Linked DNA regions of Saccharomyces cerevisiae S288C. The gene in region 1 interacts genetically with each later gene. Each region holds a gene or a part of one and is shown on either strand. Other genes may lie near its edges.

Region 1 (4,513 bases):
AAGACGAGAATTATTTATTTCCCATGATATACATAATGGTTATAAGTAGACCGCAAATAAAAGTATGTAAAATTAGCTATGTTTCTACATTGTTTGTGCAATGACTTTTAGGTTCGGCTGGTCATTAATAACTAGGTGATGCTGAATTCACGTATCTTATTAGATACATTTAGAATTCATGACTTCTCCTTTGTATGAGCGTGTCCCTCCTTTTCTTGATGGTTTCAGCCCTTCTACATACTACACAATGTACTTTGTTAACCGATGATAACTCTACTTTATACGTAGTTTAGACTTTGAACGGGATGAACTGGTTGTTTCATCCAATGTTTTCGTAAAGTCATTCTTTTTTATGGAAAATGTACAAAGTTGTTTATATTTTTTGCTATGGTTATTAACCTGAATACCATTAACAGATGTGTTATAATGGGAACATATTACTATTGCCGATAAGTTACGAACAAACCTACTACTACCATTATATAAAAATTAAGGGGGGTACTTGAAGTCTTTTCTTTCTTCTTTTTTGGGAATGCATGAGATATTCATATGTTTTAAAGCCCCATTAGTTGAGATGAATTATGACGAAATTCGCATACATCTGCGGAGAACAGGGTTTTAGCTCGACCTAAAATCAACCCATTATTTTACCTGAATGTTGCAGACTTGCATTCTTAGTGCCTCTAAAGCGAAAAATTGAAACTGTATGCCGATTTAAATACTATAAAGATAAAAAAAAGTTTAATGAATATAATAGTGACAGTGCTGTGGAATGAAAAATTCCAAATATATATAAAAATAGAAGCCTATCTTCTGTTTTTCTTTCGAGATGGCTCATCTGATGCATTGTTTCCTGACACCGCAGCAGCGGCTGCTGCTGCCGCGGCCAGAATTCTACGGTTAACACCAAGCCCACCTAACGCATTTGCAGCGGCACCTGCGGTGATTCCTGAAGCTTGTGTATTGTTTTTCGTTCTTGATCCAAGATTCATGATGTCATTATCGTTCGTGTGAATTCTTCTTGCCGGGTATTTGTAAGTTAGACCTTCAAATACATTTTCACTAACAGGAATATCACTTTCTGTGAAGTACTTATGTTCCAACGCATTAAATGCATCTATTCTTTTAATTGGATCATAATTTAACAAGTGGTAAAGTAAGCTTAAAGCATGCTTGTCCCTTCCTCCCGCGGAATGATACCATGTAGCAAGGTTATCCCTATACTTTGGAAACTTCGTAATTTGATCATATTCTGGATACTTCTCCAAATAAGGCCAAATTTTTTGATCGGGAGTGCCAAGAACTTCCAAAATTCTCTGTAGTTGATTCACTTGAAATGGAACAGTCTTTTTAGAGTCTAGTTTAGCTTCTTCACCTTTAAATATGGGCTGTAATCCTATCAGTTCTGCAAAAATGCAGCCAACGGACCATAAATCAACCGCAGGGGTATAGTGCCGTGCTCCCAATAGCAACTCAGGTGCACGGTACCATATAGTGACAACCACTTTATCCCCAGTATAGAGGGTTTGCAGCATATTATGAAATTTTCTGGCCAAACCTAAATCACCAATTTTAACACATCCATCTATGGTCACCATTATATTTGCGGGTTTCAAATCTCGATGAAGCACCCAATTTTGATGAAGATACGATACGCCGTCTAAAAGCTGCCACATAATAGACCGAACCATTCTTGGTGGTATCATCCTTTTTTCGGGATGGGAATGGAAGTGGATAATTTGTAGCAGATCATGCTCCGCATATTCGTATACCATATGGACACATTTCCTTTCCAAAAAAATTTCCACTAATGTGGTTAAATGCTTGTTGTGCAATTCTCGACATAATGCCATTTCTCTACAGGCACTCTGAGATATTCCCGTATAATGCAATTGTTCGACGCCATCCTTCTCTGTCTTGAACTTTTTAATGGCATAAAATACCGTCAGCGGTTTTTTAATGAGGGTTTGTTTTTGGGAATTATAGTGCGGGGATACATCTTCCCTCGTAGTTCGTATTCTTCCGGGGGTCACTCCTTCATCCTTTAACAAGTTTCTTCTTAATGCGTTTGTATTTGCCTGCATGTCCATTGAAGAGCTTGATTTTGGTTGCGTGCTGTCAAACTGCGGAATTTTCGCATTGGTACCATTCAGACTAGAACCATTAGCGGAATTGGTACCGGAGTTGATTTGTCTTTTCGCTTTGTAAACTTTACCATATGTGCCCGCAGCAATGTAGCCAATAACTTCGTACTTTTCTAAGACAGATACCCGCATTCTATCTTTTCTTGCCCTATAAGGTCCAATAGTAAAAACATCATTATTGGCCATTAGCATCGGGGCTTTTCCATGCACACTTCCGATTGTGTTTTTCTTTCCAACGAACGATTGAGCTTGCTGTTGTCCTTGTACCTGCATAGGCCTTTGGTACATTGGCTGATAGGAGTTTTGTGCTCTATCCTTGCCATTATACATTTCTCTCTCCTCCCGTCAAAACTAGGCGGCCTTAATTCAATTGGGAAGCAAAATTACTAACTTCAGTATACCCTTCCGCCTTTTTTCTTTCCTATAAACCTTTCTTGTATCCTTTTTGTCAGCAGTGATTGTGGGATAACTTTCAAGTATTGAAGCGGGAAAATGAAACGCAACTTAAGCCACACCACGTAATTCTTGAAGACTTTTGATGTATGATATTTATTTCACTGTTAAAAAAAGCTATAATTTCCTCTAATCAAAACTCTCTAAAACGAAATCAAAAATATTCGTAACACATATATAACGAAGTACAATATATTGGGAATCTATAAATCATATGCCGAGTGCGCAACTTCAACTGAAAACAATAATCCGTCTCTGGGCCAGAAAAAAAAAAGGAAAAAAAAGCTTTATTTCTTAATAAGGTGCTTTAATTTTTGAAAGGGAAGAAGCAACCATTTCCCAAAATATGGTGCTCCCCAGATACTAATGAAAATGCGTACCGGATATAGTAATTTTACTGTAACGTAGGCTACTGTGCCAGATAAAATCAACTTGTTTTTGTTGAGGCATTCCTGATATCTCTTACCAACAAATTTCTCCATAGCTGTATGACAGCTATCCATTAGGCCATTTAAGAAGTTTGGGAGCTTAAAATCATCAGAAAGATCGAGGTTATAAAGTAACCACCATAGTAGAAACAGTGGTAGTATGGCAGTTACCTCATGCAAGATGAAGAATGATGTAAGTGTTGGAACCGTGCCGGCCTCACTGAGGCGGTCGAAATAGTGTGAAAATTTAGGATTCTTGTTTAACCTTGTTAAAAGTCGTGACTTGGAAAATATTTTACGTAGTCTATCCTCCCTTCTTTTCACTGGATCTAAATTTCCCGATATGAATCTAATTTGGGTTGATCCGCCGGGCCTGGTGTTCATAAACGTGGTCAATTGCGTTGGCCTTTTAAGCATGAGCTCCAACGGTCCAGAGCCCATCTGCAGTTGACAGGGCCTGAAGAAAAGATTCATGACAGTCATGTTCCTGGTGAGGGTGCCTTGGGTGTAACACTTATCCTTACACGGTCTCTCAAAAGCAATATTTTTACATTTCTCTTCTTTGCTTCCTGTTCGTATAACGCGCTGAGAGCTGGTAAGAACAATAGGCCGAGGCCCTGCATCAAAATGTCAGTAGGGGACCTGTTAGGTACCCACTAATAAGTACAAGAGGGTTTTTATTTTCTAAGAGCCAATAATTGGCATTCTTTATATACAGGAAAGGTACATGTCATTCAAGACATGAGATGATCCACAGCTTCTTTACATCTGTCACACAATTTATCCTCTTCGGCTGAGTTGGCCTTCCAACATCTGGGACAGTTGTGCCTTTTGCTTCGTTCAACCAATATTTGAACGTTTATTCCGCTTCCCAATTCAATAGTTGGTAGACTGTTATTATTATCGTCCATTTGCAATATATCAACAGCAGATGATTGCAATATGTCGCAAAGCTCGTCAGAACTGAATGGGAGGTGATGCTTGGTGAAAATGGTAACGTGACTATGTGTTGTTTTGGTGACACCTTCTTCTAGACTTAACCTCTTGAATTCCTCCTGGAACTGTTTTAGAATTTTTAGTTCAAAGTTTTCAAAGGAGGTGACGATTTCCGTATTTGAGTCCAAAAACGGCCATTTTCCACGCATCGGATTAATGTCTATATGTTCTTGTCCTTGTAACCATCCTTCTGGTATATACTTCCATACTTCTTGGACCATAACGGGTAATATTGGTGCAAGAATTGCCCTATATGCATTTAGTATATGGACAAGCGTTGTTTGGACCTGCCTTCTTGCCAATGACGATATTTGGTTGGAATATAAAATATCCTTTGAGATATCAAAATAAAACGCCGATAGCTCGTTATTTAAATGATATTGTAGAGTAATGAGAACCTTGGAAAAGTTGTACTTTTGGTAGTGTTCTCTCGTCGTTTCCAGCAGTTCGTTTATCTTATACAAGGTATATTGATCAACACGGCGTAATTGT
Region 2 (3,248 bases), on another chromosome or scaffold:
ATTATATTTAGTAATGAACTTTTCGATAGACATTTGTAATTCATGAAAAAACGATATAACATTCATTTTTGTAGTGTGGTGTACGCATGGTGGGACTGCTCTTCTTGAGCGAAATTTTGATCTTCAATAGAGTGAGCAACGACAACTCAAGGATAAAGACAGAACAGCGGTAAACATCGTTTGCAAAATAACTAGAGAGCCGGATCGATTTACTTTGCAAAGTTGCGTCCTTTTTCCACGACAGAATATGTCTGCATTATTTAATTTTCGTTCTCTTCTGCAAGTGATATTGTTACTGATTTGTTCATGTTCTTATGTTCATGGGCAGTGGCCGTCTCTCCTAGATCGTTACAAAAATCATGAGGTTTTGGGGGCCTTCTGGAAAATGGCACGTGTTGGTGAAAGGGCCAGTCCATATGTTAGTTTAGCATGTATTTTGATGGCCATCAGTCAATTTAACAGCTGATTGGAAGATACTTAGTCATATGGATTTAAAGTTACGCAAATCAAGGTCATAGAAGGTGCAGTACCTTTTAAAACAAAGAGTATAAGTGGATTCAGACGAAGTGTCTCTTTAATTCTATCGTCTGATAGCGTACAAGTAAGGGTGCTATGAGCTAGCACGCACAGCAAAAATATAAACACTTTTGTATTTTTTTTTATTTTATAGTGTTTTGTGTTGAGTATTCATCTATTCGACCTCTATAGAGATTTAAGAAGGGAATTCATTGTCACAATAAGGACGCATAGTTGTTCATTTTAGACATCATTTACAGCACTTCCGTAAACTACCCCATATTGCGATTGAATACTACCGAAAAGGCTCAAGAATTTACGTGGTGCCCAATCAATTATATAGAATGAGGAACAATGGTAAGTAATGAATAATCATGGTCAGTAATAAAAAAGCAATCTCGTCCATGTTTCTTTTTGAAACTCAGAGCTTGACTCTGTTGCATTGGTATTTCATCATTTGATGAATTATTCACTATTCCATCTTCTTCTTACACAAGTTTACCAATAAATAACTCATCTGAGTTATTCAGACTTTTTATTAGATCAGTTCGGCATATTTAACTATGCAAAAGTTTTACACTGCTAAAAAGTAGTGTAAACAACAAACTGTTAAAAAAATAAAAAGGGGTGAATCCATGGACCAAGAATAGTAAGCTCCATTGGGTTACTCGATCCAGCACGGGAAAGAGCAATCGTCATAACTATGGTTTAGATTCCATACAAACGGAATCCAGTACCGAAGAAAACACCAGTACCCTGCAATAGAGGTACCAGGTCAAGAAGCAGAATACCCAAGGGCATCCTCCTTAATGAGTTGATTTAAACAATTTAAAATTTTTAAATCTCATTACGTTTTCCGCATACGAATTGGTGGGAGACTTTCAACCCAAAGCATATTACTGAGTAAAAAAAATTTTACTCCATTTTGTAAGCTTCGATTTGTGACGATTCTTTGGTCATGGATTGAAGAACTTTAAACGAGAAGAAATTAGAAAACAGGTGAAGACCACTATTTAGTTCTTTACCGCAACATAGGATAAACAAAGTTATTTTCTTACTCCTTTATATATTTGAAAAAATATAAAATCCACGGAAAAACATCGAAAATTCATTTTTCATGAAGGAAAATTAGGGTTCATACAGGAGTAGAGTTCATTGATGTGGTAGCAACCTTGTTAGCACTCATATTGTTCGAACAAAAAATGCCCTCTCAAACTTTAGTTGAAGAGCGATAAGGCATCTGAATCTCAAAAGTTAGACATGTCGGGGAGCTTCTGGACATCTACACAAAGGCATCATTGGCAATATACCAAGGCATCATTGGCTAAAGAGAGGCAGAAGTTATGGCTATTGGAGTGCCAGCTGTTTCCTCAAGGTTTGAATATTGTAATGGATTCGAAGCAAAACGGCATCGAACAATCCATCACAAAGAATATACCAATAACTCACCGAGACTTACACTATGATAAAGATTATAATCTAAGGATCTACTGCTATTTCCTGATAATGAAGCTTGGAAGGAGACTAAATATAAGACAGTATGCACTGGCTACAGCACATATTTATCTATCAAGGTTTTTAATAAAGGCTTCAGTTAGAGAAATAAACCTATATATGCTGGTTACTACGTGTGTATATTTAGCATGCAAAGTTGAAGAATGCCCGCAATATATCAGAACTTTGGTAAGTGAAGCCCGTACCTTATGGCCCGAATTTATTCCTCCTGACCCTACTAAAGTTACTGAGTTTGAGTTCTACTTACTAGAAGAATTGGAAAGTTACTTAATTGTCCACCACCCTTATCAATCCTTAAAGCAAATTGTTCAAGTCTTAAAGCAACCGCCATTTCAAATAACACTATCGTCAGATGATCTACAAAACTGTTGGTCCTTAATCAACGACAGTTATATAAATGATGTTCATTTGCTTTACCCTCCTCATATTATCGCTGTTGCATGTTTATTCATTACGATTTCCATTCATGGGAAACCAACCAAAGGATCATCGTTAGCATCTGCGGCTTCTGAAGCCATCAGAGATCCTAAAAATTCTAGTTCTCCTGTTCAAATAGCTTTTAATCGTTTTATGGCAGAATCTCTTGTAGATCTTGAGGAGGTTATGGATACGATTCAAGAGCAAATTACATTATACGATCATTGGGACAAGTACCACGAACAATGGATAAAGTTTCTGCTACATACTTTGTATCTTAGACCAGCATCTGCAATTTAATCATGCGAAGAATAAATTTAAAAACCGTTAAGCCTGTAAATTCAATCATTATGGTGGTGATGATCCGTTTTGGAAATGTTTCGTCCTTGACTACCTTTGTTTAACATGATATTGGAACGTCAAGACATATTGAGAATAGGTACCGTTATAATGCATAATTAAAAATTGCTTTGATATTGAGGTGGAAAGCTGGGTCGGACCTTGACATGTATTAAATTTAAAGAATCGAACCTAGTGTTTTTTTCTCCAGTGTTCAAAAAATCCTTTCAATTTGGTCTACTGCAGTAGCCCACTTATAACACACATTCAAGATGGGTGAACCGTGGCTCAAACTTCCCCATTTTTCAGAGTATGTGCAACCACAAAACCTTTGTCAGAAATTCTTATGGCAGGCCAAATTGATAAACTAACAGAAATATTAAACGCCCCCCAAGTTAAAATACTAGAACATGTTGGCTTATTTCAAAAACATTTTCTTCCTTTTCTAAAGTGTTTGATAA
Region 3 (4,108 bases), on another chromosome or scaffold:
TGAAGATGGCTCTAAGAAATCAACTGGTAATCGTAAATCTTCCATGAGAGAGGCCCAGCCAGATTTAAAAGAAATACTGAAGAATGGAAAAGAATTTGAATTAGACATACCAGAAACTGTTGATACACAAGGGAATGTAAGAAAAACCTCAGTCAGATTCGATTCAAACGTTTCGGTCGCAGTGGATGAAAGATAAGAGATAAACGCATACTAAATTACTGTGTCTGTTATTGTTTTTGGCTATATATATATATATATATATATATATATAGTAAATATAAGAAAAACAAAGAAAAAAGAAATGAGAGTGAATTTGAGAGCGGCAGAAAGAAATAAAATTCAAACATTTTGATGTAGATAACTGGAAATAACTGAAGGGGATAAAATATTGAACGAAAAGAAAATGATAATCCTCCAAGATCACATAATAAATATAAAGAAACTCCTCAGGAATACAGAATGTCCTCTGCTAACTTAGACGCAAGGCTATTTGTAAAATTTTATGATAGCTGGTTTTCTTGAAGTGTAGATTGTGGTAATTGCGGAGTGGAACCCATTGAGGAATGTGGTACAGTGTTGATTTCATGTTCCAAATTCGGTATGGCTACGTCTGACCTAGCATTAGCAATGGCGTTGTGATGCTGCTGCTGCTGCTGAGCATGGAAAATTTGATGCTGCTGTTCTTGTTGACCTTGTTGAACATGCTGTGCAGAAGATATAGAGGCACCTGGGGTAACAGGGGTAGTAGTTGACGGATTATCTTGTGGTAACATGGCTAACGACTGTTCATTAATCGTATTAGGATTCGAATTAGCAGTATTGGTGTTGGAATGAGTTTGTGGCGAAGAGTTGCGAGGTGGTAATTGCTGTTCGCATAAAGGAATACGGTCCTTTAGATAACGTATTAAAATTGAGTGTAAATCATCCCTCGTGAATGGTTTGGCCAAGATATCATTCATTCCATGTTGTAAGTATGTGATCAAGTCTTGATTCATAATGTTACCTGTCATGGCAATGATGGGAGTCTCATTATCAAAACTTCTGACAATGGATGTCGCTGTGGCACCATCTAGGTTTGGCATAACAATGTCCATTAAAACCAAATCATACCTATACTTCTCTAGTGTTGAGATAGCTGAAAGACCGTCGCTGACAACTTGGACAGTACAGCCATATTTCCGTAAAAATTTTGAACACAACTGTATAGACACTGCGTCATCTTCCACCAACAGTACATGGAAACCTTTTCGTAGCGTGACTGTGTTATTTTGAGCATTTGGTGTTAGGCTATTCTGATCGGGTAAATTAGGTAGTTGTAAGGAAACTGTAGATGTTGCCGGAGAAGCATTGTTGGTGTTGTTGTTGCTTTGGATAGCTGTTGTTGTTGCTGGGTTGGTATTACCAGTTGGGTTACGGTTTCCATTGTCGCCAAATATTGGCACTTCAATACCATTATTTGCCAAAGTGGAACACAGAGTGTTGAAGTTGTTGAGTAAATTTTCATTTATGGTCTTGAATGTTATCAAACTTTCGATAACCGTATTGTATTTCGAGTTCAACTTTTGTAGTTCTACTTTAGTAGCATAACTCTCCATTTTGGACATATCCAACTCCTTTTGTAGTTTGTCTACTCGCCTTCTTAGATTTCCAAATGCATCTTTACTTACGGTATTGCTTAACAACAGCTCTGTGGTGGATTCATTCAAAAGAGACCCAGAAGGATTGTTGGGGTTAGTGCCTTCACTATTGAAATGCAAAAGAGCCTTTTGAGATTCATCCAAAAGCACTTTCCTTTGCGCCGGAATTTTCCTTTTGATGTTATCGAGACCTTTTCCGTAATGGACTCTAAATTCTGGATGCTGAAACTCCCAACTTTGTTCGCCATATTTACATCTCTGTCTTTCCTCGGGACTTCTCTTAACCTTGTGAAAGTCATACTTGTTTAGTTGCCTTACAAAAGATGCAAAATTTGAATGTTTGAAGTGATTAGGCAATATATGCGTAGTGAACTTTCCTGTGTCCAAAACGACGAAACTTTTGCCGTTCTCAGTCCAAGTTACAATGTCAGGATATTCATTGTTTTCCAGTATCCTGAACAGTTTTCTTACGAACTCATTTGCTGGAGCCTTTGCTCCCGCATTAGCACTGCTGATATTTGTGTTTCCAGCTGGTTGTTGAACGTTATTAGTCTTGTTGTTAATGTGCAGCATGTCAGAAGAGTTGTTTGGCTGCATCGTGTTCATCAGTCGAGGCCCGCTCTGCAACAAGTCCATTCCTAAAAGGTCTGCAGTCGAACTGTTCTCGGTGGTGTTATTATTGCTATCGCCGGTGGTTTTATTGACGTTGCTATTTATGGTGGAAAAGCTCATAGTGGATATCAAAAGTAAGCAACGAAAAAATAGGAATAAGAATAATGGAAACAAAGAGAGGATAAAAAAACTTCTATAACAGTCCTTTAATAATACAGCAATTTCGTTGCTTTTTTGTTGGTCTTGGAAAAAACAGAATGTCCTCTAATGAGCGAGTTAAATATATGACCCAAACAAAAGCAGCAAGCCTAGGTAAGATGTTGGAAGATAGTAAGGTGACCAGGGATATCTGTGTAATGTTAGTAAAACTTTGACAAATGTTTCAGATCCTGGAAGCACTTTCAATCTTGTCACATTCGATGGGATGACAGTTAAGCTCAGTAAAGCTGACCACATTTTGCTCATAGTTAAAGAAAGAAAAAATTCAGAATTTCGGAAAATCCATGTACGCGCATCGATGAGCCCTGCCCTCACTTATGGCATCCCTATTATAGCAAAACCCTGCTTATACTTGTGTTAGCCCTACTTTTAATCGACTTTAAACCTATGCATTTAAGAAAAACTTTTTTTTTTTTTTTTTCGGATGATATAACCGACCTATAATTTCCGAACCGACTTTGGGAAATCACAGCGAAGCGTTTACTTAAGCCCTGATTATATATAGATGAGGGGTAAATATGTCAAAGTACAATGGAATGGTGAGGTATAAGCAGTGATTATGAGACGTGATAAACTAGAAATTTGCAGGAACAATTATTCATTTTTTGGAGTTTAAATAAAACGAAAATACATACATACTTTACATATATAAATAGAAGAAATGTTTCGATAAAGTGGGAAAAACGATTAGAAGATACAAATTAATAATAGAAGTAGAAATAAAAGATAGAAAAATTAGAAAAAAATAAAAAGAAAAGGAAAAGAAGAGGAAGGGCAAGAGGAGCGATTGAGAAATCATATTTCGAATCTTCCACTGACAAATTCGTCATCCATGTGTTGGTCGCCGTCGAAGTCCATCTGCGAATGGCTGTTGTTCATATTTTTCTCTTGGTTGAATCCATCATTGATGTCCTCGTCCCCGTCATCATCGATGACATCTTCGTCTGGAGGTAAGTTTGGATTTCCCGGGATAAAGGAACCAGGTTCCATAAAGTACGAGTTTTGTAGGAATTTTCTGTTGTTATTAACGTGTTCATCGATGGCGGACTCATCAACAAAGGTGAAACCAGCAAACTTTGCTTGCATGGCTGGAGATAGCGGGGTAGCAGTCATCATCGGCTGGTGCTTGTTCATGTATGAAGTTGAAGCTGTTGTGAACTCTGGGTCAAAATTCGAGGTATCCGTCTCCGAGACTAGGTGAGGTTTGAAAGGTGGTGGAATTTTTTTCTGCTTCAAGGCCTCCCAGTCGATATCTGCGAAAAATGGATGAGCTCGTAGTTCTCTTCCATCATCAATGGCACCGAGTCTATGTTTGGGGTTTCTGTTTAGTAAACCCTTTACAAAAGACCTCCCCTCTTGTGACAGTACGTCTCTGGGGAATTTGACTTTACCAAAGGCAATTTTTTGGTACATTTTTTGATTATTTTCCGCAAAGAAAGGGGACCAACCACAACACATTTCAAATATCAAAACACCTAGAGACCAGAAATCGACCATTTTGGTGTAGCCGGTTTCGTCCAGTAACAATTCTGGTGCCAGGTATTCCGTGGTGCCGCAAAATGTGTTTGTTCTATCCTTCAAGTCAGCTTTAGAAAGACCAAAATCGCAAAGAGCGATGTTACCGTTGGCATCGAGTAGAA

The links. A genetic interaction does not mean that the proteins touch.
Region 2: mutations in SSN3 (region 1) and SSN8 together harm fitness less than expected from each alone (positive genetic interaction), as found in Saccharomyces cerevisiae (2 studies listed by BioGRID).
Region 3: of SSN3 (region 1) and SKN7, a mutation in one rescues a mutant of the other (synthetic rescue), as found in Saccharomyces cerevisiae (2 studies listed by BioGRID, with this or other methods).

Annotation. Positions count from the first base shown.
Region 1 is NC_001148.4:472,234-476,746, forward strand, and holds SSN3 (cyclin-dependent serine/threonine protein kinase SSN3), read right to left. Parts: upstream 2,475-4,513; coding exon 807-2,474; downstream 1-806. Other genes in the region: MRX11 (Mrx11p), read right to left, coding at 2,885-3,508; isoleucine--tRNA ligase ISM1, read right to left, coding at 3,760-4,513. UniProt on the Saccharomyces cerevisiae protein: Component of the SRB8-11 complex. The SRB8-11 complex is a regulatory module of the Mediator complex which is itself involved in regulation of basal and activated RNA polymerase II-dependent transcription.
Region 2 is NC_001146.8:583,820-587,067, reverse strand, and holds SSN8 (cyclin-dependent protein serine/threonine kinase regulator SSN8), read left to right. Parts: upstream 1-1,776; coding exon 1,777-2,748; downstream 2,749-3,248. Other genes in the region: KSH1 (Ksh1p), read left to right, coding at 248-466. UniProt on the Saccharomyces cerevisiae protein: Component of the SRB8-11 complex. The SRB8-11 complex is a regulatory module of the Mediator complex which is itself involved in regulation of basal and activated RNA polymerase II-dependent transcription.
Region 3 is NC_001140.6:510,993-515,100, reverse strand, and holds SKN7 (kinase-regulated stress-responsive transcription factor SKN7), read right to left. Parts: upstream 2,370-4,108; coding exon 501-2,369; downstream 1-500. Other genes in the region: SET5 (S-adenosylmethionine-dependent methyltransferase), read left to right, coding at 1-196; serine/threonine protein kinase SCH9, read right to left, coding at 3,264-4,108. UniProt on the Saccharomyces cerevisiae protein: Transcription factor that is part of a SLN1-YPD1-SKN7 two-component regulatory system, which controls gene expression in response to changes in the osmolarity of the extracellular environment.